Linked DNA regions of Sus scrofa. The protein of the gene in region 7 purifies or fractionates together with the protein of the main gene of each other region. This does not show direct contact. Links are inferred from orthologs where the notes say so. Each region holds a gene or a part of one and is shown on either strand. Other genes may lie near its edges. The genes, in order: CNOT11, LARP1, YBX3, CNOT10, CNOT2, CNOT7 and RC3H1.

Region 1 (3,500 bases), on a different chromosome or scaffold from region 7:
TACACAGATATCAGGAACAAGCATGGTTAAACTCTAGGCATGCTCAAGAGGGAGGGCTAGACAGTAGACAGCAAACTATTAACAGAAAACTCAGGTTAATAATGGGGCTGGAGGGCAGTAATTGAGAAATGCACAGGGAACTTCTAGGTCCTAAAAATATTCCTCCTTCCCCCTCCCCTTTTTACAGCCACACATGTAGAACACAGAAGTTCCTAGGCTAGGGATGGAATCAGAGCTGCAGATGCCAACCTATGCCATAGCCACAGCAACACCAGATGCGAGCTGCATCTGCAGCCTATGCTGCAGCTTGCAGCAACACCAGATCCTTAACCCACTGAGCCACAGGGGGAACTCTAATATTGCTCTTCTCAATTTTAATGGTGGCTGCTCCAGATCTGCTTTAAGAGACCATTAACCCAATGGAAAAATGGCTAGAGACATAAAAGATGTTTAACCTTATTCACTTCATAGGAAAAATGCAATTTTTTATCTCATTTTGCTGAAATACAAAAGGTAGGAAACATACTATTGACCAAGATATAGACAACATTTTTAAATTGGCACACTGTGGTACAAGCGTAGGTGTTTTGCAGAAATTTTAACAAGATAAAATTCTGCCCCTTGTATTTATTTCTGTTTAATTTGCCTGCTTGTTTTCTGAGAATTAGGAAAATGCAACCGCATCAGCCATAAATACACTTTGGTCGTGGATCCCATGAAGACATCTGAATCTCAGGCCGGCTGCTGTAGAGATCAGCTGTGTAGCCAGCGCCAGAGAAGATGGTGCATGCACTTTTTTTTTTTTTCCTTAAGTACTTGTGAAAAGACTGGATTAAGACATCCTCAGTCTGGGCAGAGGACAGCAAAGAGCTTAGGGCTCTTTGCTTAAGAGGGTAGCTGCTGTGCCAGGCTTCTCCGTCCTAATTCTGGTCACCTATTTCTCAGCTTGACATAACTTTAAAAGTTTTGCATTGGCTGATCGGTCATCACAGTTGAAAAGGAGATCAGATCCAATTCTTTATTGAATACAAAGCCAGAACCCTCAGAATATACACTGCTTCTAAAAGTAGGACTGAAATTGCTCATCATTTCTCCAACCAGTTTTCATCCTGTGGTTAAGGAAACAGTTGCTTTATGTCTGTAAATAGACTGCATCTGGCATTGTGGCTAATAAGCACTTTTACACAAACCATGAGACCCATGCAACCTTCAATCTTAAAAGTCTGAAAAAGATTTCTCTTGGTCACAGAAAATTGTTATATTATTAGTATCTAGGAGTTCCCACTGTGACACAGGGGTAAAGAATATGACTTCGGCAGCTTGGAGGTGCTGGGAGCAAGGGTTCGAACTCTGGCAGGGTAACTTCCATGTGTTGTGGATGTGGCCATTAAAAAAAAAAAAAAACTAGTAGTTTAAAAATGAGGTTTAGAATACTCCAAGGAGGAGTTCCCATTGTAGCTCAGCAGAAATGAACCCAAATAGTATCCATGAGAATTTGGTTTCAATTCGGGCCTTGCTCAGTGGGTTAAGGATCTGGGGTTGCCATAAGCTTTGGTGTGGACTGCAGACATGGCTCAGATTTGGCACTGCTGTGGTGTAGGCTGGCAGCTGCAGCTCCGACATGACCTCTGATCTGGGAACTTCCATATTCCATGGATGCAACCCTGAAGGAAAAAAGAGAATACTCCAAGGAAAAGTTTATTGAAAGATGTCACCTTATATAAAATGCCAAATGTCACAGGTGCATGAAGTCCAAGAAGGAGGGTGTGCTGTCAAAACTAACCCTGAAGCTCATGTATTCACAAGGTCATGGGTTCATGGATCTGGCTAAAGATCAGAATTTCCCCATTGAAGCACTCTTAGGCGATGAGACCCTTGCATCTCAACTTTTGCTTAAGGCGCCACAACAAGAACTCTGGTCCCGTTACTTTCCATCACATCACAAGTGGGCTTCAAGAACACCTCTATATTTGCTTGTATATGTAACACAGAAGGTGCCAAAATGTTTAAACAAAGGAACAAAGTGGAGATCTCACACACTGATTTCAAAAAAGCTACCGTATGGCTTGTTGGATTGGTGTCTAGCTCCCTAAATAAAACCTTTTTTACATGTAAGAAAAAAAAAAAAGACCTACCCTGCCTGAAAATGTGGTACTAGAATAAAGACAAACTGACATAGAAAAGAGAGCCCAGAAATAAACCCTCCCATATATATTCAAATGATTTTCAACAAAGGAGCCAAGAAAGCACTGTTTACTATTCAGGGTCCCTTGAGGTTCCATATGAATTTTCTATTTCTGCAAAACACACCGTTGGGATTTTGATAGAAACTACACTGAATCTGCAGATTGCTTTGAGTAGAAATGTTATCCAGGAAATTTTAAATAGACCAAGTTTTATTCAGCATTTTTCTTAAATAAGGAAAGCAATCGATTCAAGTGGAAACTGAAAATGATATGTCTATCCCATAACAGCAAGGATCCAGTACCAAATCTATGCTTTTCATGGAAAATACATTTTGGCATAAAGACCTTCATTTTAAGTGGAGCATCGCAAGAAAAAAGGCCTAATGCTACCACACAAGACCACCTGAGGCAGGATCCCTCCTTACCGGCCAAGGCCAGCTGAAGCCCGCTGATGTCCACGGACTGGCCCATATTTCCGACATCCATCAAGGCAATCTGTCGAGGGGTCTTTTTGAAGAGTTCCCTTGGGGGTGCCAGCATCAGCTGGGAAAGAAAAAACTTTTCTGGTGGAGTTATAGGAGGTAAAAAGCCTGTAAACAAAAACGTATAACAATTTCTCTAATAGTTATTTTTTAAAATTATCTTAAATCTGCTCAAATTAGCATTTGCTCCTTGCCACCTCAACTCACCTCTTTATTTTTATTTATTTTTTTTGTCTTTTTGCCTTTTCTAGGGCCGCTCCCGTGGCACATGGAGGTTCCCAGGCTAGGAGTCTAATGGGAGCTGTAGCTGCCGGCCTACGCCAGAGCCACAGCAACTCAGGATCAGAGCTGCGTCTGCATCCTCAACCCACTGAGCAAGGCCAGGGATCGAACCCGCAAACCTCATGGTTCCTAGTCGGATTCGTTAACCACTGAGCCACGACGGGAACTCCAACTCACCTCTTTAAAGACAAAATTTTAATTGAAGATTCATTTCATCAAATTTATTTATGCAAATGTAATTAAATAGGAACGGTTCCAGGACCTGCTGTGAACAGCAAAATCCAAAGGTACTTAGGTCCCTTAAGTAAAGTGGTGTAATATTTGCATAGAACCTGCACGCATCCTCCCTTATACTTTATAAATAATCACTACTCACAATACCTAATACAATGTAAATGATACATAAACAGTTGTAAGTACTATGTAAATACTACATAAGTACAATGGAAATACTATGTAAACAGTCACCAAAATTTAGGGTTTGCTTTCTGGAACTCTCTGGAATTTCTTTTGCCCCTTGAATATTTTCTACCAGGGGCTGACTGAATCC
Region 2 (3,500 bases), on a different chromosome or scaffold from region 7:
GAACACAGGTATCCTGATCTCTGGTCCGGTTTTCTTTTCCTGGACAACCAGGGTGGGGAAGATGAGAGACTTCCACTTACATCTACTCTGAAGTCTTCGAGGCGACGGAATTTGCCGAGGTATTCTTGAAGTTTGGGGTCAATGTCCAAATTTTTGGCTTTGGAATATTTCAAGAAGGCCCAGAACTTCTCCAGCCCATAGAGTTGGCCTGCAGGGAAAGAGGAGAGAGGTAGAGAGAAGCTGGGTGGCTGACAGAGGGAGGTGTGATGTGATACAGACCAGGCAGAGTGCAGGGCAGAGAACATAAGATCAGGATGACCAGGGCTCAAAGAGCCTCAACTCTCTTACCAGCTTCATAGTCCTTCACGGTTTCTTCCTCAAAGTCCTTGAAAATGTCCAGCCGAAATTTCTTTTCCAGGCCATAGCTATAGTATCGAAAAAGGCACTCCAAACCATACCTGTAGGAGAATACAAGTCAGTAAAACCAGGACACAGTTTTTTTTTTTTTATCTAAAACAGGAACTGTACCTGGATTCTAGATAAACTATGAAACAGTTTAAACAAGTGGATTGAGAAAATGGTAAGCCTTCTTTGAGAAGGCTAACATTAAAGGCGAATCTAAATGTCTGTCAAGAACCAGCAAACTTGGGCTAAATGAGTTAACAGCCTACTACCCATACCCACTTGCTTATGAAGTATCACACTGGTTGCTTTCTGCTACAAGAGCAGAGCTGAGCAGTTGCAACAGATACCTTATGCCCCACAAAGCCTAATAAGATTTGTTGTGTATCTCTTATGGAAAGTTTGTCAATCCCTGATATGAGCCCTCTGCAAAGCTATGTGACCATGCCAATTAGGAGTTTTGTTAATCTATTGGACTCAGAAATTTTTTTTTTTGCCATTTCTTGGGCCGCTCCTGTGGCATATGGAGGTTCCCAGGCTAGGGGTCTAATCGGAGCTGTAGCTGCCAGCCTACGCCAGAGCCACAGCAACGCGGGATCCGAGCCACGTCTGCAACCTACACCACAGCTCATGGCAACGCCGGCTCCTTAACCCACTGAGCAAGGGCCAGGGATCGAACCCGCAACCTCATGGTTCCTAGTTGGATTCGTTAACCACTGCGCCACGACGGGAATTCCAGAAATTTCATTTCTAGGAACATATACCAGGGAAATGACCAAAATTTAGAATTTTATAGATGTATAAAATTACTCATAGAAGCATTAAAAAAATTTAAATGTCTTGCAGAAGTGGTTAAGAAAAATCATGTTAACTCTTTACAACAAAATATATTAAAAATTACAATGTAAATATACATTGATGGATAATGAGAAGTGTTACATGTAGAATGTCCATTTTTGTAAACAAATATGTATTTTATATCTGCACGTGTACAAAGTCTGACAGGACACGACTATTCCTGCTGTGGCTCAGTGGGTTAAGAATCTGACTAGTATCCATGAGGAAGCAGGTCTGATCCCTGTCCTTGCTCAGTGGGTTAAGGATCTAGAGTCGCCGCAGTGTGTGACTGTAGGTCAGAGAGGCTTGGATCTGGTGTTGCTGTAGCTGTGGCATTGTAGGCTGGCAGCTGCAGCTCCAACTTGACTCCTGGCCTGGGAACTTCCAGATGCCGTGGGGGAGCCACAAAAAGCAAAAGGAAAAAAAAAAATTTTTTTTAACTCTATTTTCTAAACTTCCAGCAAAAACATGGACTGTCTTCTCTAGGAAGACAAAAAAGTTAAATATCTTAAAGACACAGAAAAACGCTCATTCTTTTAAATGATAAATAAGACATAAATAAAAAAGGCATTCAATGCATGATCTAAATACACGAAATACGACTGAACATTAACACTGGTTGTCTCTGGACTGAAGGGCATCTTTCTCTCCCAGCTCTTTCAATATTGCTATCCCTTTACAAACTGCTTACAGAGAGAACATTTTACTTGGGAGGAAAAAAAAAGTATCTTTTTAAAAGTTTTTTGTTGTTTTAAAAGAGCAAAATATTGGAACCAACTCAAGTGTCTATTAGTAGGAGACTGGTTAGGAGTTTCTTGGAGGCACAGAGTTAAGGATCCGGCATTGTAACTGCTGTGGTTCAGGTTCAATCCCTGGTCCCAGAACTTCTGAATGCCATGGATGCAGCCAAAACACCCTAACAGTCTATAATTAAGTAAATTATTGTATATCCATACAGTCTAAGACCACAGGAGCTATAAAAAAGAAGAAGAAAGTTATTTATACATGGATATGGAATGATCTCTAAAATAGAGCAATGGAGTTCCTTTGTGACACAGCAGGTAAGGATCTAGTGTTGTCATTGCAGTGGCTCCGGTCACTGCTGTGGCTCAGGTGTAATCTTGATTGCTGGCCGAGGAACTTAGACATTCCGTGGGCACGGCCAAAAACAAATAAATAAATAAGTAAAAAAGCAAAAAGCTACAAAATAGTATCCAAAAGAGACCATCTTTTGTGTAAACAAAAGGGGTGAAACGTTGTGTGTGGAAGACTACATAGGTCTGCCCTCGCCTACATAATAAGCAAAGTACTTGCATTTTTAAATTTTGTTTATTTATTTAGAAACTCCTGGGCCAGGAATTCCTGTCCTTGCACAGTGGAAACGAATGTGATAAGGAACCAGGAGGTTGCGTTCGACCCCCGGCCTCACTCAGTGGGTTAAGAATCCAGCGTTGCCATGAACTGTGGTTTAGGTCGCAGACATGGCTCGGATCTGATGTTGCTGTGGTGTAGGCTGGCAGCTATGGCTCTGATTAGACCCTAGCCTGGGAACCTCTACATACTATGGGTGTGGCCCTAAAAAACAAAACAAAACAACAAGAACTCCTGGGCCAAGGAGCCAATCCATGCCATAGCAGCGACCCAAACTGCTGCAGTGACATGGCTGGATCTTTAACTCACCAAGCCACAAGGGAACTTATAAAGCAAAGTTCCCTTTTTAGAGAAGATCCACAAGATTCTAACAGTACTTGCTGGCTGTGGGAAAAGGAACCAGCTGGCTGGGGAACTAAGATGAGGAGACGTCTTACTGTGTAACCTTCTGACCTCTTTGAGTTCTCAATCATGTAAATGTAGTACCCACACAAAAGTAATACATTTTTGAAATAAAGAGTATGAAGCATATACACAATAAATTTCCAATTATACTTCTGGAAGCAGACCCAACAGGGACCCCTCACCACCCCTGATCCCATTCACCTGTAGCCTTCTTTGGCATCCTCCAGAGCCAGCTGCTTGAATTCCTCATACATCTTCTTGTTAAAGTGATCTCGGAGGAAGAAAGACCAGAAGCGGAAGAGAGTGTTCATCTCCTGAGACTGGCCAATGCCTAAGCGTTTCCGCTCTGATGGGGGAGGAAGAAGGAAAGACTGTGTTAGGGCTGGACTGCCTGTGCTATGGGGACAAATGATCCTGGGACTCAAGGACATCAGTCCTTTCTCCTTCCCTCACTCATCACCTGCCCCTTAAGTCTTTGGGAAGGT
Region 3 (3,500 bases), on a different chromosome or scaffold from region 7:
ATCCGGGCCGGTCACGTTGGCTGCTTCTGCACCCTGACAAGGAAGAGAAGCAAAGACAGCCTTGGAATTAAAAAGATGCCAAACTAACTACCAGAAACACCACCTTAGGCAGCCAGCACGTTAACAAGGGGCAGAACCTACTCGAAATGCCTACTGTGACCTCAAAAACACACCCACGTTTTGATAAGATGAGCAAGCTGATGTCGCTATTGAAATGTATATAGCTTGTTGGCTTCCACAACCTTTGCTTTCTTGTTTGCGTCAAAAGCAATATGTGGCTCTTTAGAGAACATAAAAGGTAAATAGAATGCAACTGTAAAGGAAGTAATGCTACACCAGGAAGAACATTTCTCACTGGAAAATAACCATGTTCTCTATCTAGAAAATGTTGAAAGCTATGTCACTCTACGAGAGACTAAGAGTCCCTTCAAGGGCTCACATGGCTCTGTCCAGCATTGAGCTATGGTAAGAGAAAACTTCTCCCATCCAGGCAGCAGGAAGGAAGGGCCCTTGACTTAGCCTGCACAAATGCAGCCCCTGGTTTTTTTGTTTTTTTTGTGGGTTTTTTTTTGGCTTTCTTTTGTCTTTTTAGGGCCGCACCTGTGCGCATATGGAGGTTCCCAGGCCAGGGGTTGAACTGGAGCTGGAGCTGCTGGCCGGCCACAGCAATGTGGGATGTGAGCCACATCTGTGACCTACACCACAGCTCACGGCAACACCAGATCCTCAACCCACTGAGCTGTGCCAGGGATCGAACCCATGTCCTCATGAATACTAGTCGGGTTCGTTAACCACTGAGCCAGGACAGGAACTCGGCATAAATGCAGTCCCTCTTTAAACCTTCTTCTTATGTTTTGCAACACTTGACCTTCGTTCCATTTCTCACATGGACAAATGGATCAAGTAATGCTTCAAAAACATTTGGACAAAAGAGATTCGAAGTGTGTGTTTCCCACTCTACATCAATCTGTAAAACCTTAAATTATGAAAATATACTGAGGTAAAATTTCCCCGGCCAAACAAAACTTTAAGAATTGGACACGACAGATGATTATAGATCAGTCTTTGCTGGTAGATAATTTGAAACTCAGAGATTTGCAAGATACCTTGGGGATCACAGTGGTAAAGAAATCATTTAAACTTCTGTATTAGATGAAATAAAGTGATTTTTAAAAAAAGAAAACCAGAAAACAGTTCGAGAGCTGCTAAGAATATGGACTATGGGATGGTGTGTATGTGAAAAGAGCACACACAGGAATTAAGCAGTCAGTCACTCAGCTCATAATTTCACTGCCACACTTAGCTGTCATGGCAGCTGTACCATATATAGTTTTAAAATGTTTCTATTCTTATCTCATACTGTTTTACTGATTATCTATATATGAGAGACCACTGGTTAAAGGACAAAGATTAAAGGACATTACTAACATTGGAATTAAATATCTAATAGCATGAAACTCTGTAGAAGCACTTACAAATCACAGCCTAAAAACTTTATTCTTAGAAAAAAATATCTTTGGCCCCAAAGCAGCTTTTATCTATTTTTAACACTATAAAACAGTTTAATTTTAATCTACTCTTGAATATACATTTGGTACCTAAATGTCATTTTAAATCTTGAGAAATTAGCTTTTACTTCTTTGATTAAATAATAGTCATCATTTATTAAAATATAAATTAAAATACTCTTTTTTATACAACCTCAAACAATGTATATAATGACAATAAATAGAAATATTTTTACTTAAAAGTCACACCTTTCTGCCTTACAAAAAAAATCCAAGGCTGATGAGAGACCATTTACTATGAAAGAAACCTTAGGATATCCAACCACAATTTCCTCTCACCTTCTCTCCTTCAACCACATCAAACTCTACAGTTTCTCCATCTCCTACACTGCGCAGATACTTCCGTGGGTTATTCTTCTTGATGGCAGTCTGTCAAAAGAACAGAAAATTCTAAGTGAAGTATATGTCAAAATCGGCCACAGATTTCACTGCTTTCAAGTTTGCTGGCTATATTGAAGAAATTGTTGATCTAATATTACTTTTTAAAAGTATTCTTCTGGGAGTTCCTGCCACGGCTTAGCAGAAACTAATCCGACAAGTATCCATGAGGATGCGCGTTCAATCCCTGGCCTCACTCAGTGGGTTAAGGATCTGGAATTGCTGTGAGCTGTGGCGTAGGTTGCAGACACAGCTCGGATCCCGCGTTGCTGTGGCTCTGGTGTAGGCCAGCAGCTGCAGTTCTGATTCGACCCCTAGCCTGGGAACTTCCATATGCCGCAGGTGTGGCCCTAAAAAAAAGTATTCTTCCAACTAGCCTGGCTCTCCAAAACAAAAAACCTCTAAAAACTATGTTTTACATTATTTTATTGATTCATGTTATCCTTCAAAATTCATCTTGGTAGGTGGATTAAACTGAACGTATAGCCACAGCCTACCACCCAGTCATGATACTGGATAGATTCATTCCCTCACACTACCGTCTTAGATCCAGACTACACCTCCATTAATGGGCGGGGGGGGGGGGACTGGGGGGATGCCTTCATGAAATCTTACATGCACACATAAAGACAAAAATACACTTTGGGGCTAGAAATGTCTGAAGACAGCAGAAAGTGCTAACCTCAAAAGAAAATTCGAAAATGCCAAGAGGATAAATATTTCTGACAGAATATACAAAATTACCTTAAGAAAAAAACATTACTGACAGTCTTCTTCTTCTCTCCCATTTTATGGATAAGGGAACCAAACAGAGGCTGATAAGTGGATTTTTCTGCGGTTATAAAAATACTGGCTTGGGGAAGAAGGTGGGAAGGAGGAGGGTAGGTAGGGGAAGCGTAATAGGGCAGGTGGGGAAACGTACTCCCCTGTACTGTAACTGTATGATATTTACTCAGCTTTTTCCCATCACATCATTCACATGTCACCTCATCCCTATATGTACCCCGAGATAAGACATTAAAAGATTAATGAAGATATTATCCTGCCTTGAACAGCTGTACCTACATATCTGTATATGAATGGCCTTTCTTTGTCAATCAATGGAGGGAAGAGAATAATTTCTACACTGAATTCCCATTTCTTTAGCTGGTATCTCTAAGTAGTTAAAGGGGCTCTGAGTTTCTATGGAACTAGGTCAACCTTATTTTATAAAGCGATTAGGCATGTGTAATCCAGCCCTTCCCTTACTCTGAGTAGGAGGGAGAAAAAAAAAAAAAAAAAAGAATGAGCCAATAGGGCAGAGAGACCTCACCCACAGAGGAAGAAGGCAGTTCTGGACAGGATATACGCACCGAGCCTGAACATCAGCCATTCCAAAAACAGCCCCTCCCTGCCGGCTTGTTCCCTTTTTCCTGTTAAACTGGGCAAGTCTCAACACATGGAGGTGACTCACCACGACCTCAGGGGGCTGGAATCAGGTCAGACACTCACAGGCAAATGAAGCTGGCCACCAGTGCAGAAACTGGGGAAGTCCTTTTACTCTAGCTGCCACCA
Region 4 (3,500 bases), on a different chromosome or scaffold from region 7:
TTTTTTTTGTCTTTTTGCTATTTCTTGAGCTGCTCCCACGGCATATGGAGGTTCCCAGGCTAGGGGTTGAATCAGAGCTGTAGCCACCAGCCTACACCACAGCCACAGCAACGCGGGATCCGAGGCGCATCTGCAACCTACACCACAGCTCATGGCAATGCCGGATTGTTAACCCACTGAGCAAGGGCAGGGACTGAACCCGCAACCTCATGGTTCCTAGTCGGATTCGTTAACCACTGTGCCACGACGGGAACTCCTGCAATCAGATTCTTAACCCACTGTACCACAGCAGGAACTCCCAGACTTTTTTATTATTATTTGCTATGGTGGTCTGTGATCAGTGATCATGGATGGTAGTATTGCAAAAAGAGGACTCACTGAAGGCTCACAATGATTAGCATTTTTTAGCAATAACGTATTTTTTTTCTTTCTTTTTTGGCCACACCCATGGCATATGGAAGTTCCCAGGCCAGGGATCAAATCCAAACTGGAGATGTGACTTAGGCCACAGCTGCAGCAATACTGGATCCTTAACCCACTGTTCTGGGCTGGGGATTCAACTGGCACCTTCACAGAGATAGGCCAGATCATTAACCCACTGCAGTACAACAGTAAGTTCTCTTTTTAAGAAAAAACACATTATTGTATTTTACATTATTATTTTTTTAGACATAATGCTGTTGCAGACCTAATAGACTACAGTATAGTCCTTTTATACCCACTGGGAAACCAGAAGATTCATGTGACTTGCTCTATTGAGATATTCAGTTTATTGCAATGGTCTAGAACCATACCCACAATATCACCGAGGTATCATCTGATAATATGTAGGATTTGGGTTATTTGGCATTCTCTTATAATTGCCAAAATTGAAATTTCTACCTATCAGAGGGCAAAGTTATCTATAGTTATATTGGTTTTATCACTGATAGTAGAAAAGTCTTATTTATTTTTGTTGTTTTCTCAGCTAACTTGGTTTTGTTCTTTTAAGTGATGGACAGTCTTCAGCCATTCCTGTAGCCAGCATGGAGTTTGCAGCCATTTGTCTCAGAAATGCCTTGTTGCTGTTACCTGAAGAACAGCAAGATCCGAAGCAGGAGAATGGCTCTAAAAATAGTAATCAGTTAGGTGGTAACGCGGAGAGCAGCGAGAGCAGTGACACTTGCAGGTACTCAAACCTCTTTGACCTCCCTGAGTGAGTCTGCAGGACTTCACTAGACAGCCTCCCTCCTCCAGATGAAGTCCCAAGTCCCAGAATCTACAGACTGAATTTTCAGAGTTCTCTGTTTTGGGTAAAAGGAAAATATGAATGTTTAAGTATTTCTGCAAGAGAGAAATAAGATGAAGGCTATTACTTTCTCCCTTTTTTCTTAACGTGTGTAAACCACTAACATCCAGAATATTTTTTTGTATGATTTTTTTTAATTTTTTTACAGGATATTTCTATGTATTTCTGGTTTCTTAGTATAAATTAACTATTACACCAATCTAGAAATTGAAAGACTTTAGTAATAAAACAAACACTGTTATATGTAGAAAGTTGTTTTTACGTATGGTACCTTTAAATTCAAATCTTCCATCCCAACATTTTTTCTTTTTATTTCTTTCTTCCTTTTTTTAAAGGGCCACACCTGTGACATATGGAAGTTCCCAGGCTAGGGGTCAAATCACAGCTTCAGCTGCCAGTCTTCGCTACAGCCAGCCACAGCCACAGCAACACCAGATCTGAGCTGTGTCTGCAACCTACACTGCAGCTCACAGCAATGCCAGATCCTTCCCACTGGGCGAGGCCAGGGGTTGAACCCGCCGCATCCTCATGGATACTAGTCGTGTTCTTAACCTGCCAAGCCAAAACAGAACTTCCTAGCATTTTTTTCCTGATTATAAAATAAATTCATGTTTATTATAGAAAATTTGAAACAAAGTCATGGAATTTTTTTTCCATCAAAGTGTTATGCTTTACTATAGCTAGTAAAAGACAAAAGAATGAGGAACAGGTGAAAATATTGGAGTGATTTCCTTTGTATAAGTAGAAATATTGTTTTCTGTTAGTTTTTTTTATTTTATCGACGTATTCACAATACTATGTTAGGTTTCTTTTTAAAATTTTTATTGGAGTATAGTTGACACGTTAGAGATTTTTTTAAAGCAGTATTATGTACCGGGGAAAGAAGATAATATACTGTATAGCTTTAACACGTAAGTGATACCAAGTTATTAAGTATTTTTTCAGTGTTTTGATTCTTTGCAGTTTTTTCACAAAAAATTACGTGGGTGTCAGTATAGGGAAACAAAAGTTTACATTTGATTGTTCATGCTTCATAATTAGGAGTCTGTCTTTATTTTAGCAGTAAAAGCCATGATGGAGATAAATTCATTCCGGCACCACCTTCTTCTCCATTGAGAAAACAGGAATTAGAAAACCTAAAGTGAGTATCTAAGCCAAGCTGGCATTGCTTCTATCAGAGTGAGCACATTCTTTATCTCCTTGTTTGTGTTAATATTATGAATTGCATTGATTAAATGTCAGATGTAAAACCAACCTTTCAATCTTGTGATTAAACCCTACTAGTCAGGATGTATTACCTTTTTTAATACATTGTTGAATTGGATTTGTTTATATTTTGTGGGGAATATTTGCTCCTGTGTTCCCAAGGATCGGTGGCGGGTGCTTTTCTTTGCTTAGGATGTCCTGCTTAGGCTTTGGTTTAGGGTTATGCTGATCATGTATGAATGACTTGGTAAATGCTTCTTCCTCTGTTTTCTGAAAGAGTTTTTTTAAGGTGGATGTTACTCTTTCCTCAGATGTTTAATTGAATTCACCAGTGAAACTATCTGGCTTAGGGTTTTTTCAGTGGCAAATTTGGGTAATGGATTCAGGTTTTTCAATAGATGATGCTGTATAGATTTTCTATTTCATTTGTGTCTGGGTAAAGTTATACTTTTGTCTCTGTGAATTATAAGCACCTTTTTTGTTTTGAACAGTCATACATGTATGTTAAAAGGAACAGAGTAGTCCTTTATGTTTAGCCATGTAATTACCGTTTCTTGATGATTCTAGTTCTCATGATATTTCCTTTCAGCCTTGAAGAGCTCCCTTCGGCATTTCCCACAGTACAGGTCTTCATTTTCCTAGTGTTTTGTGTTTGTTTGTTTTTCCGTTTTAAATCTAAAATTGTCTTTATTTCATAGTCATTCTTGGAGGATATTTTCACTGAGTGTAGAATTCTAGGCTTTATTTTTGTTTTTCTTCCAGTCAAGGTGTTACTGTCTTATCTTCTGGCCTCCATGGTCTGATCACAGTCATTGTATTACAGGTGCCATTTTTCTGTCAACATAAACTGTCTTTGTTTTTTGGCATTTAGTCTATAATGAGTCTGTGTGTGATTTTCTTTGTTTTTTAATCTTCCTGGGGGTTAGCTGATTAAGTTTACAAATTTATCTTTCAACAGATCTGGGGTATTTTTGACCATGATTTTTTCATAGTACTTTTGGAAGTA
Region 5 (4,103 bases), on a different chromosome or scaffold from region 7:
TGTGGCATAGGAATGTGGCAAGATTTTATATGTAATGTTTAGGAGCTAGTCTTTATTATGTAAGAGAGACAAAGACAACACTGATAAGTTATCTGGCAATTAATATGGTTAGATTTATGCATGCTCATAGCTGGAATAAATCAGTGTAAATGAGAGGAAGATAAGAAAATTCTAAACAAAAACTGATGTTACATTCCCTTGGCAGAAGCTTTACAATTCTTACAAAAAAGAATGAACTATAAACCATTCATATAATTAAATTAACTTGTCTGAACTATTTAGTTCAGACTAACATACCAGTCTATATACACAAATAAACTTCAACTACTCTACTCAAACGCAAAAAACTTAACTGGGCTTAAACGTACAGTAAGAAATAAAAAACATGAAATAGATAATGGTAGAAAAATTAATACTTTAACCAACATCCATTTGAAGTCACCAGCTCTTAGCAGGAAGCTGAGGGAATGCACCTTCCCAAATTAATTCTGAAGTCTTTAATCAGGTCCATAATGAAATAAGAACTGGAAAAATATTATTCTTATTAACTCCGGAATATTAGCCTATACTATCAGAATGTTTAAATATCACTATAAGACATCAAGCACCCTCCAAAAACAAAAGGCCTCAAACGTAAAATGAGTATACACGGATACAAAGAAATTCTACTTTATTCATGAGAAACAACAAAATTCCTCCAAAATGAAATCTTTAAAAACCCAAATCATTTCATCTCTGCATATACAAATCCTACTTCTAACAATATAAATATTAGAAATTTATCTAATATTCCTTTAAATTTCCCATATGCTGTTAATATGTTCATAATTATCAGACAGCAAATTATATTCCTATACATTCACTTTTCAGAGGAGGCTTTTAAAAATAAAATAATTTTACAATGGAAATTTAAAGAACAGTTTTCAGGAATATTTCAACATGCATAACTACATAACACAAAAAAGAAAAGGAAAAATATTTTCAGGTAGAAAAACCCTAACCAAGAATGAATGCATTTTCAGGTAAGCTCAAAAACACTTGGATTATTTATAAATAATGTGACTGAAATAGTGTGATTCCAAATAATTTTTTTAGAGTAGAATGAACAGAAATTAGGAAATCTCTTCATGTGTAAAATATCTCATTTTATTCCTTTCTAATGTGTAAAATTTGGAATTCTCTATTATTAGATTCTGTAGTCAATTAACCATACCATATGATCATAAAAAAGTTCTATACTTACATTTTATTAACTGGATTATAAACACTTAAAAGCCACATAATGCACAATCACAATTTCTTAAAGTAATTTAGCAGATTCTATCAAAAGACATAATAGCCCAAGCAGTGTAACCAATTAAAATCTTATGAGTCAAGGTAGATGGAAGCGGTTTTGAGGCAGGAGCTACAAGTAATGAGCAAAGGCCACGTCACTTGAGCCAATAAAAACAACTCAGAACAGAAAAGGTTACAGAGAGAACTGATTCTATATAGTCATAGCTTACTCTGATTTATTAAAATTATAAAAATCTGGTGAGAAACTTCAGACATCAAATTAGGTCAAATTCTACAAAGGTTAAATATGACAGTATTTTGTATTAGGACAGAGCCCAAACCAGAACCTAAGTATTATGCTCAAAGGTTCTTTACTATTTCACCATTTACAATTTTCTTCACTGTTCACTCTTCCAATCTGAGGGAAGAAAAGACTAATTGTGCCAAAATAAATAATTAAAAGACAAATGGTTAGTTAACAAAAGCATCTACTATCAGACTAGTTGCCTTCACAGCCTAGAGGGAATAAAACTGGTAAGTGGAAGAGGGAGAGGTTAGATAGGTACCTGTGCAGGAAGTCTGAAGCTTACCCCTACTTGAGCTATGAACTATTCTGTATTCTGAATCACTACATAATTTGATATTAAATTATTGTCAAATGAATAAAGCCAAATGTCTTTGAAAAAACTAAATTCAAATATTATGGGTTTTGAAATCACTATTTAATAGCACTATCTTTAAAATTCACCTTCTTTTATAAGCTGAGAAAGAAACAAAAATATTACACTTCAACCATCGTATTAGCATCCTTACATACTTCATAGGGAATGGATTTATAAACTAACTTAATAAATGAGAAATTATGAGAACAGCAAGCCAATGACAATTCAATAGAATCTGGGTCTCTGAACACCCTGAATTTTCATTTCTATTTCTTCTAAATGCTAACCAATTTTGTCTACATTTCTGTAACGCTCTAGTACCCTCAATATAATCTAAGACTTCAGTTTTAGTCTTCCAGGAATCATACGTGTAAAAGCAATCAATATTTTATTTTATGAAATACTAGGTCTGAATCCAGCCACAAAGTCAAAAATTGTGCATCAGATAATCTAAGTTTTGACATATATACACACACAGGAGAAAATTTATGTTCTGACACTAAAAGAATACACATTTCTTATAAGTATGCTTTATTATGAAAAATGTTCCAAACTATTTCAACTATTAAGCCATATATATACATATATCATTTAAAAAATTATAACCCACATTTTTCAGGTTGAGGTCTATCCAATCTGCTGGTTCCTAAATACAACATATTAAACAGTTCAATGTAATTACGTGACCAACAGAAGAAAGCAAAATAAAATTGATCTTACCTGGTAGTTTCTTTTCTCAGATAATGTATGTCCATCAGTCCTCACCATAGAGTCGTGTCCTTTCCTCACAGTACTGGAGGCAATCAAATAGAACTGTCACTCAAGGGTCGTGTCACAGGAAGGACCGCCCACCAGTTCTCCCTCTAGAGTGGAATTATCCAAAAGCCATCAAAATTACTAACATGTAAAATATATGAACAGTACCAAAAATACCAATATGATACAAAGAAAACAAAACCAAAACTTTTTTTTTTTAATGTCCTAACTGATCTTCCTCTTAACCATCAAAGAAGGGCTAGACTGCCAGACATACTTTGTTTGACACAGAAATTATTAAGCATGAAAAACTTTTCCCTCCCACTTCTACTCTCTCCTATTAAAACTGTTCGCCACATACCTCACACATAGGAAGAAACTTATAGTGAATAAAAATGGAGTGGACAAAAAAGTTAAGCCCTTAATCGACATTACCTTTTTTAAATAAACAATTTGTTAGTATTAGAAATACCCAATTAATTCAGATTCAGTCATTTAATTTCAAATCCCCCTTCATTCAGTTTATGGAGTTTATTCTTATGCCATAAGATGGGAATACATCATATAATCTTAGGATGATTAACAGGTGCAAACCTAAGTCAATATTCTATTAAAATTTACTCCAATGAAGAGTAATAACAACTGTCAACTTTCTAGATTCCTAGGTCCTTCAATTCTCCAATTTTTTGCATGCTTTAATAGAGTTTTCTTTTTTACATTAGGGCAGAAACATAATGAAGCTTATTTCTTAACCTGGTCAGAGAAATAAATCCAAAATGACTAGGCACTGTATTCCTCAGGCATCAAAAGATCACCGAAACAGAGGTAATAGTTGCTAGAGATGCTAACTCAAAAATATAAACTGAAAATGAAAGATCAAAAATTCAAAAGTGGTACCTACAAAAAATTTCTAAATATTTTCAAGACAAATGTCACTCTCCTAACTTTTAGTAAAATGTTTACCCGAATGAAGGAGTATATAGTATATACACCTAGTGAATTAACAATAGTTGCTAACTCCTAAAAATTATAATCGAATTTAGAGCAATTATTTAACATCAGACAAAATTCACTTTGGGAGAGGAAAATAAAAACATCTAATTTAAATTCATAAGAAGTGCAAATCATTTTTATTAAGATCAACACACAAATACATATACAAATATATTACCTCTAAAAAGCAATCTAGTAAGAAGGCAAAAAATTTTTCAAGGAAAACAAAACTTTAAAAATTAGTGTTATTAGATTTAAGTTTTTAAAAGAATTAATGTAATAAGGAGTTCCCACTAAGGAACAGTGGGTTAAAGGATCTGGCACTGACGCAGCTGTGACTTGGATTCACTCTCCTGGCCCAAGGACCTCCATGTGCAGTCACTAAAAAAAATATCATGTAATGAAAACCTACACTCC
Region 6 (3,500 bases), on a different chromosome or scaffold from region 7:
GTAATCCTTAAATAGAGAACTTTCTAAGGGGTATCAAGCTGTCCACAGCAAACATCTGAAAAATTAAAGATGAATGGAAACTTGGAAAAAAGCCAAAAGATAGAGAATTGGCATTTAGAAGGCAAAAATTAATGCATATCCTCCCATTTTTTATATAAAGAGGTCACATACTTCAAAAATCCAGAGTGTAATTCTTAACAAAGTATTTTCACTTCCCTTAAGTGATTTTATTAATAAGTACTCTCTTCACTCAAAATTCTGTTCCTATCTCAATCCCCAAGAGATAGGAATGCTGCTCATGAAAGAAGGAAGGTAGCAAAAGCTGAGAACTACTAACTAGAGAATAAAAAACTCCCCACTCTCAAGATCTCCTCTTCCTGTTGTTTAGCTTTCGCCACAGGTTTATATCGCCCCACATTTCCCCCACAATCGCACCTCCTTCTCCCTGTCTACCTTTAAGGACCTCTATCCGAAGCCTTCCCTAAAGAGCTCAGCTCCCACAGAGTTCTCAGACAAGTTCTTTTTTATCACCCTTTAAAGCGTAGGTATTGTTTTCTCCATGCGTTTAAAGGGAGGTATCACATCTTAAAAAAACTTTCCATTTAGTTAGGACTCAAATATTTGATGACAGATGCTACTAAGATATCTTTTAAAGGAAGATTACAAATAAATTTCTATTCAAGGTTTAGAATTATACTTCTTAACACGGAGAAAAACAAATTTTTAATACTGAAGACCATTAAGGAATATCAAGGTATAAACAAACGCTAGAAACCTTTAAATTTCTGGCAGTTGACAAGAAAGTAACTTCTTTATCTACCTAAAATACAAGTCAATATATTGCTTACTACTAGGTAAAAACAAGTTGTTTTAGAATTTAGTATTTATAAATTTCTTAAGTCCTTATCTACTAGAAATAAGACTATGAAGAAAATATTTAATGACATTTAGGAGAATGAAATCTTACATATCTTGACAATACTCAAATAGTCAAACCTAGATTCAAGACATGACCCCTGTTTTTGTTCATCTTTTATAAAAAAATTGAAAAATTTTTTTTTGGCCATGACAGGCATCCTTAAGTGGAATCTCAGTTCCCAGACCAGGGATTGAACCCAGGCTGCTGAATCCAACCATTAGACCACCAGGGAACTCCCTGTTTTTATTCATCTTAATATTCCAATGCCTAAAACAAAGTAATGCCTCAGACTATTTTTTGAATGAAAGAACTATCATACATAGTTAAAAAGAGGACAATGCTTTCCAGTTCTTTTGCATCTTCAAGACTAGGGAAGTGAAAAAAGAACTCAAAAAACATCCCTCAAATTACCAGAGACTTAAGCCTCATTTCCTGAGGTACAGACTCAAGTGAAGGAAAACAGAGAAAAAAAGATAGGTGGATATGAGTAAGTTCAATACTCCAGCTCAAAAATGACTGCTTAGTACTACGCTGAGGTTGACGGTATGAACAGTCCTTCACTAGTCTTTTATTACTGAGGCCAGTGCTGGAAATACACAGCATGCAGAAACTTTTTTTTTTTTAAATGCTAAAGTAGACCAAGTGTGAGAATATTAATACCTGCATAATTCAATGCATTTTAAAAACATAACAAAAGGCCAAATAAAATCATTCCCGAAGCACTTTTAGTCCCTGAGTTGCCAGTTTAATGTAGTTTACTTAGATAGGAAAACTCTTTCTCTTAGCTAAAAGTCTGTTTATACAAAATAGAATTTCCTTTCCAGAAATTCTCAACAACCTAATTGTATGATAAGAATTAAAAACTACCATTTATTGAGAATTTACTGTGTGTAGAGCACTTTACTAGATGCTTTAAATATGTCACTACTGATCATTAAAACAATTTAAGCTAATTCTAAGTATTTCTTCCTAATATCCTATTTAAAAAAATTAAAATCCACCACACACACCTCTAGCTTTCTCTTTATCAATTTTTTTCCATAGCATTTACCACCACCTAACAAACTAAAATATACGTTCATCATTTAAAAAACTTGTCTGTCTACTCCCACCAGAATGTGAACTCCATGAAATCAAAATTTTAGTCTATTTTGTTCATAGCTTAATTCCTAGAATATTATCATAGTGCTTGGCATATGAAGGATAACAAATAAATACTTTTAAAATGAATAAATGTTTCCATTCTAAGGCTTAGAAATGTTAAATAACCCTAGGTAACACAGATTCCAAATGGCACTGCTGGATGGAGGGATGGATCGATCGACTGATTTTGGACCCAGGCCCTCACCTCACCAAAAAATATATATTTTTCCACATACCAGTGGTATATGGTAGTTCCAAGGCTAGGGGTCAAATCGGAGCTGCAGCTGCTGGCCTACACCACAGTCACAGCCACTTGGGATCTGAGCCACATCTGCGACCTACACCACAGCTCACGGAAATGCTGGATCCTTAACCCACTGAGCAAGGCTTGGGATTGAACTGGCATCCTCATGAATACTACTTGGGCTCATTACTGCTGAGCCACGAAGGGAACTCTGGGATTGCTGAACTTAAACCAGGTCTACTTTTCCAGCCTGCCCTCTTTCGACTATGCAATACTATCTCTTTGACAGCCTAAAATGGATCCCATATCATTAAATTAACTTTTCAATTAGCTTGGAGAGTTAAGAGACTGCTATATGGCAGCCAATACTTTGTAGAACTAAGCCTGAAATTGCTGACAGAGTGACCCAAACCAAGTGTGAAGCAATCAGGAAATGGTAACACAAATGCCACTTTCAAGGCAATCTTTTTACCTATGAAATGATAACCATTTGACCCCTTCACAGAGGACTACTCCTGAAGTCATAAGAAGTTCTGCAAAGTACTGGGTTTCAATTCCTTCCTCCTCATGTTTTTTAAACTGGATACCAGATGTTGTCAGTAGCTCTATAGAGTCTTGGGCATACATGTCCTCCCTGGCAGGAGAAAAAGAAAGACAACATTCAAAAGTGTCATACTTCAAACTGATTTTCTCCCATTTACATCTAAAACTGTAATGTCAGTAACGAGAGAGAAGATTGGCGTTTAATTCCAAAGCTTTGCATATATGGAGTGAAAATACAATTTAAATATAATGGTCATTAAGTATTGTGGAAAAATGTTCATACAGTAAATAATAATCATTCAGAACAATCCAATGGTAAGATTTTAATCTATACTATCAATTTCATTAGCGGTTCACAAGTTAAATAAATTTAACTGGGTTTGGGGAAAAAAAGTGTCTTCTACTCACCAGCCATTACCACCACAAAGTAACAGACACATTCCTATCAGGGGTTTTTGGTCTCAGCAGCCACTTTAATGCTGCCAAATGGAGCCGCAGCCACAGGGGTGAGGGCCTGGGTCCAACTCCCAGGCTCTCAGCAGTACCAGGAAGAAGACCAAATGCGAAGCATCTGATGTGACTGAGTGAAACTACATTCTATCTTAAATAAAAAGGAGATGCCTCCTCTAACGATGAGCCTTTCAAATGGCC
Region 7 (3,500 bases):
GAGAATTAAATATAGCTCTAAGAGTCAGAAATAGTGGACACTGACCTAAAATTGGTGTGTACTCAAATGATCTTTTCATCATAACAAAAAACAAAGTAGAAATAACTTTACTGAAAATTTGATCAAACCTAGAATGGTTGGTAACTTATTATGTGAAATCATTCTGGCTAAGAAGAGAAGAAACCTCAATGCAGACATCTTTCAGGCCATTAAATGGCTGCTCCAAGAAAACAAAAAAGGCATTTTGAAAACGGGTTTAACTAACACTAATCAAAACTCAGAAAACAAAAGAAAGGAGAGAGGCAATAATAAAACAGATATGGGAGACGCAAAGGAATCTGACAGAGCACTGGATAAAAGACTGAAACATAATCAAAATCAAATCTTACATGAATATTGTCAAAGATACCTCAATAAAAAACCATTTGAAAGAGTTCCTGTTGTGGCTCAGTGGTAATGAACCCGACTAGCATCCATGAGGACACAGATACTATAGGATCCAGCATTGCCATGAGCTGTGGTGTAGGTCACATCTGTGGCTCAGATCTGGCATTGCTGTGGCTGTGGTGTAGGCTGGCAGCTGTGGCTACGATTTGACCCCTAGCCTGGAAACTTCCATATGCCATGGGTGTGGCCCTAAAAAGAAAAACCAAACCAAACCAAAAAAAAAAAAAAAAAAAACTTTATATGAACAAACTAGTGTTAAGGTGTGACCTTATGACATGACACCCAGCTACAGTGAATACAATTTATAAGGACCTGACATACAATATTTTCTTTAATATGCATTTGATATACAAATGAATTACCAAATCATGAATAATAAAAACTCCGAGATTAGTTCAAGAAGGAAGAACAAACCAGAGTCTACCTTGTCAATAATAGACTGCATATGAGATTTGTGAGACTGGTCTCCATAAAGCAAAGAGGACCACTGGTCAGGTGCAATTCGTAAGCCTGCTTCCATAGCAATCTGCACTATCTGGGAGTCATGTTCTCGACGCAGAGCTTCATAGGTTCTAAATTCTTCTTTCAGCTGCATCAACGAAGAGTCTTCATCACGTTTGGTGACCTATTAAGACACATGTAATCCCCCAGAGTCAGATAAGAAACAAACAGGGTTTATACTTTATATGATAAGTATAGATATGAAAATCCTTTGGAAAAAGGAAATACGTAATAATTCTGAAAAACAATGTTTCTTCTTCCTATCTGTGATTTATTACTTTGCCTGGTATTGAGCTAGCTGGTACCATAACTGAAAGAGCTTCAGATGATGGTATAATTCTAAAGATGACTAATTTGTACTTGGTTTAATTATCCATGGAGTTTGTAAGTTAGGACACCATAAGAAAGGGCAAATTATAGAGTTCCCATTGTGGCTCAGTGGTAATGAACCCAACTAATATCCATGAAGATGTGGGTTTGATGCCTGGCCTTGCTCAGTGGGTTAAAGATCCAGCGTTGCCGTAAGCTGTGGTGTATGTTGCTGATGCAGTCAGATCTGGTGTTGCTATGACTGTGGTGTAGGCTGGAAGCTACAGCTCTGACTCCGATTCGACCCCTAGCCTGAGAACTTACATATGCTGCAAGTGTGGTCAAAAAAAAAAAAAAAAAAAAAAAGGGCACATTCTAAGATGCTGGGCTGTAATAATTTAATAATAATTATTTTCGGTAATAAAAATAATTGACACTGAGCATGTAGTATGTGCCAGTTAGTGTGTTAGGTTACTTTATTAAGTTATAATGACATATTAACTCATCTAATTCTTTCTGTTTTGTTTTGTTGTTGTTTTTTGTTTGACTTTTTAGGGCTGCACCTGCAGCATATGGAGGTTCCCAGGCTAGGGGTCAAATCAGAGTTGCAGCTGCTAGCATATGCCACAGCCACAGCAATGCCAGATCTGAGCCATGTCTTCAACCCACACCACAGCTCATGGCAATGCCGGATCCTTAACCCCCTAAGCAAAGCCAGGGATTGAACCTCTATCCTCCTAGATACTACTTAGCGTCATTCCTGCTGAGCCACGACGGGAACTCCAACTCATTTAATTATTTAAACTTGGTGAGGTAGGTACTATTGGTATCACACATTTTGAGTCAAGCTGGATTTAGGCTAAAGGCTTATTCAATCAAAGTAAAATGATCCATTCTAGTGCAAGATCACCTATATCCTAAAATATTTTACAACTTACTTTACCTTGCCCATCTTTTATTCCCACAAAGACTCAAATTCCTCTGGCAGAAAATTTCCATTTTTTTTCCTTTTTATCAAAGAAACTACAGACTATTTTACTTAGGACTTCTGGGTCACAATGACATTATTTTTAAATGTATTCTATTATTATCACAAAAAAGTCTAACTTAAATTTTGTTAGTAAAAGTCCACAGAGAGACCAAATTTTTTTTTAAAAAAAATCAAGAACTATAGTCACAAAAGCTAAACGTATTTTACCCCATTGAAAGATAAGTTAAAAGACCAAAGGTATGTGTATGTATATGAAAACACCCTCTCAATACAGGTTAAACCTCATCAAAATGTAGAATAAGCATTCTATATGATGCAGTGATCCCCTGGACTTGGCTCTCAAAACTCTTAACTAAACACACTCAAAGATTTCCAAGAGATGCAATGTCTTAAGAATGACCAGAATTATCCTGCAGCTTGAAAAGATTTTTCAATGGCAATAAAAAAGATGCTAAAAAGACACAGCTAGAACACAACTATATAGACATAAACACCTGGTAAAGAATGGAAAATGCTGTCTGAGTTCCATAAAGAAGATAAAATGGGCGTTGGTAGACTCTGCCACAGTAGTGAAGTTTAGGGTATGGACCTACTGCGATGAGAGAAGATGAATTTTTTCATTATTGAGAATGTAGTACAAACTACCACCAAGAGAAGAAAGTAAGTTGACAACGAAATATAGGGAAATAACAACGACCCAATTGAAAAATAACTGGATTTTTACATATAGCAATCTTTTAAAAATTACTACTAAAATTACTTTTAATTAGGATTAAGAGAGGTTCACTTTGGGTGTTCTGGGGTATTTGAGCCCTTTATTTTTCAGAGGGATCAAACCCGCATCCTCGTGGTTCCTAGTCAGATTCGTTTTCACTGCAGCATGACAGGAATTCCCTACTCTGGCGTAGGCTGGAAGCTGTAGCTCCGACTGGACTGGATCCCTAGCCTGGGAACCACCATATGCTGTGGGTACAGCCCTAAAAAGCAAAAAAGCAAAAAACGAAAAACAAAAACAAAAAACAATTTTTTTGAGACATGTCTCCTTGGCCCACTAAGTACGTGTTTTGTGTGTTGAGTCAAAAGCCAAGAAGCCTTGAAAACAGAATGAATAATAAATGGTACATGCTGGGCACCAATGTTTGAAGTAGTGCTGATTCACTGTGGGATACAAAGGACTATGTCCAGCATTGCTGTATATACTAAAACTGAAGTGGCCTATAGAGCTCCAGTACAGTGTATGTGGAGTTACATA

Evidence for each region.
Region 1: the proteins of RC3H1 (region 7) and CNOT11 purify together in Homo sapiens (affinity purification with mass spectrometry, with the first as the bait; 4 studies listed by BioGRID). This does not show direct contact. The link is inferred for Sus scrofa from reciprocal best matches to the Homo sapiens genes RC3H1 and CNOT11.
Region 2: the proteins of RC3H1 (region 7) and LARP1 purify together in Homo sapiens (affinity purification with mass spectrometry, with the first as the bait; 3 studies listed by BioGRID). This does not show direct contact. The link is inferred for Sus scrofa from reciprocal best matches to the Homo sapiens genes RC3H1 and LARP1.
Region 3: the proteins of RC3H1 (region 7) and YBX3 purify together in Homo sapiens (affinity purification with mass spectrometry, with the first as the bait; 3 studies listed by BioGRID). This does not show direct contact. The link is inferred for Sus scrofa from reciprocal best matches to the Homo sapiens genes RC3H1 and YBX3.
Region 4: the proteins of RC3H1 (region 7) and CNOT10 purify together in Homo sapiens (affinity purification with mass spectrometry, with the first as the bait; 3 studies listed by BioGRID). This does not show direct contact. The link is inferred for Sus scrofa from reciprocal best matches to the Homo sapiens genes RC3H1 and CNOT10.
Region 5: the proteins of RC3H1 (region 7) and CNOT2 purify together in Homo sapiens (affinity purification with mass spectrometry, with the first as the bait; 3 studies listed by BioGRID). This does not show direct contact. The link is inferred for Sus scrofa from reciprocal best matches to the Homo sapiens genes RC3H1 and CNOT2.
Region 6: the proteins of RC3H1 (region 7) and CNOT7 purify together in Homo sapiens (affinity purification with mass spectrometry; 5 studies listed by BioGRID, with this or other methods). This does not show direct contact. The link is inferred for Sus scrofa from reciprocal best matches to the Homo sapiens genes RC3H1 and CNOT7.

What each region holds. Positions count from the first base shown.
Region 1 is NC_010445.4:53,074,816-53,078,315, forward strand, and holds part of CNOT11 (CCR4-NOT transcription complex subunit 11), read right to left. Parts: intron 2,777-3,500; coding exon 2,612-2,776; intron 1-2,611. UniProt on the Homo sapiens protein: Component of the CCR4-NOT complex which is one of the major cellular mRNA deadenylases and is linked to various cellular processes including bulk mRNA degradation, miRNA-mediated repression, translational repression during translational initiation and general transcription regulation.
Region 2 is NC_010458.4:68,396,106-68,399,605, forward strand, and holds part of LARP1 (la-related protein 1), read right to left. Parts: intron 3,362-3,500; coding exon 3,217-3,361; intron 459-3,216; coding exon 349-458; intron 209-348; coding exon 81-208; intron 1-80. UniProt on the Homo sapiens protein: RNA-binding protein that regulates the translation of specific target mRNA species downstream of the mTORC1 complex, in function of growth signals and nutrient availability.
Region 3 is NC_010447.5:61,344,368-61,347,867, reverse strand, and holds part of YBX3 (Y-box-binding protein 3), read right to left. Parts: intron 1,938-3,500; coding exon 1,848-1,937; intron 34-1,847; coding exon 1-33. UniProt on the Homo sapiens protein: Binds to the GM-CSF promoter. Seems to act as a repressor. Also binds to full-length mRNA and to short RNA sequences containing the consensus site 5'-UCCAUCA-3'. May have a role in translation repression.
Region 4 is NC_010455.5:18,699,449-18,702,948, forward strand, and holds part of CNOT10 (CCR4-NOT transcription complex subunit 10), read left to right. Parts: intron 1-991; coding exon 992-1,168; intron 1,169-2,348; coding exon 2,349-2,429; intron 2,430-3,500. UniProt on the Homo sapiens protein: Component of the CCR4-NOT complex which is one of the major cellular mRNA deadenylases and is linked to various cellular processes including bulk mRNA degradation, miRNA-mediated repression, translational repression during translational initiation and general transcription regulation.
Region 5 is NC_010447.5:34,469,608-34,473,710, reverse strand, and holds the start of CNOT2 (CCR4-NOT transcription complex subunit 2), read right to left. Parts: upstream 2,801-4,103; 5' UTR 2,706-2,800; coding exon 2,658-2,705; intron 1-2,657. UniProt on the Homo sapiens protein: Component of the CCR4-NOT complex which is one of the major cellular mRNA deadenylases and is linked to various cellular processes including bulk mRNA degradation, miRNA-mediated repression, translational repression during translational initiation and general transcription regulation.
Region 6 is NC_010459.5:4,940,094-4,943,593, forward strand, and holds part of CNOT7 (CCR4-NOT transcription complex subunit 7), read right to left. Parts: intron 2,941-3,500; coding exon 2,779-2,940; intron 1-2,778. UniProt on the Homo sapiens protein: Has 3'-5' poly(A) exoribonuclease activity for synthetic poly(A) RNA substrate. Its function seems to be partially redundant with that of CNOT8.
Region 7 is NC_010451.4:116,247,433-116,250,932, forward strand, and holds part of RC3H1 (roquin-1), read right to left. Parts: intron 1,073-3,500; coding exon 872-1,072; intron 1-871. UniProt on the Homo sapiens protein: Post-transcriptional repressor of mRNAs containing a conserved stem loop motif, called constitutive decay element (CDE), which is often located in the 3'-UTR, as in HMGXB3, ICOS, IER3, NFKBID, NFKBIZ, PPP1R10, TNF, TNFRSF4 and in many more mRNAs.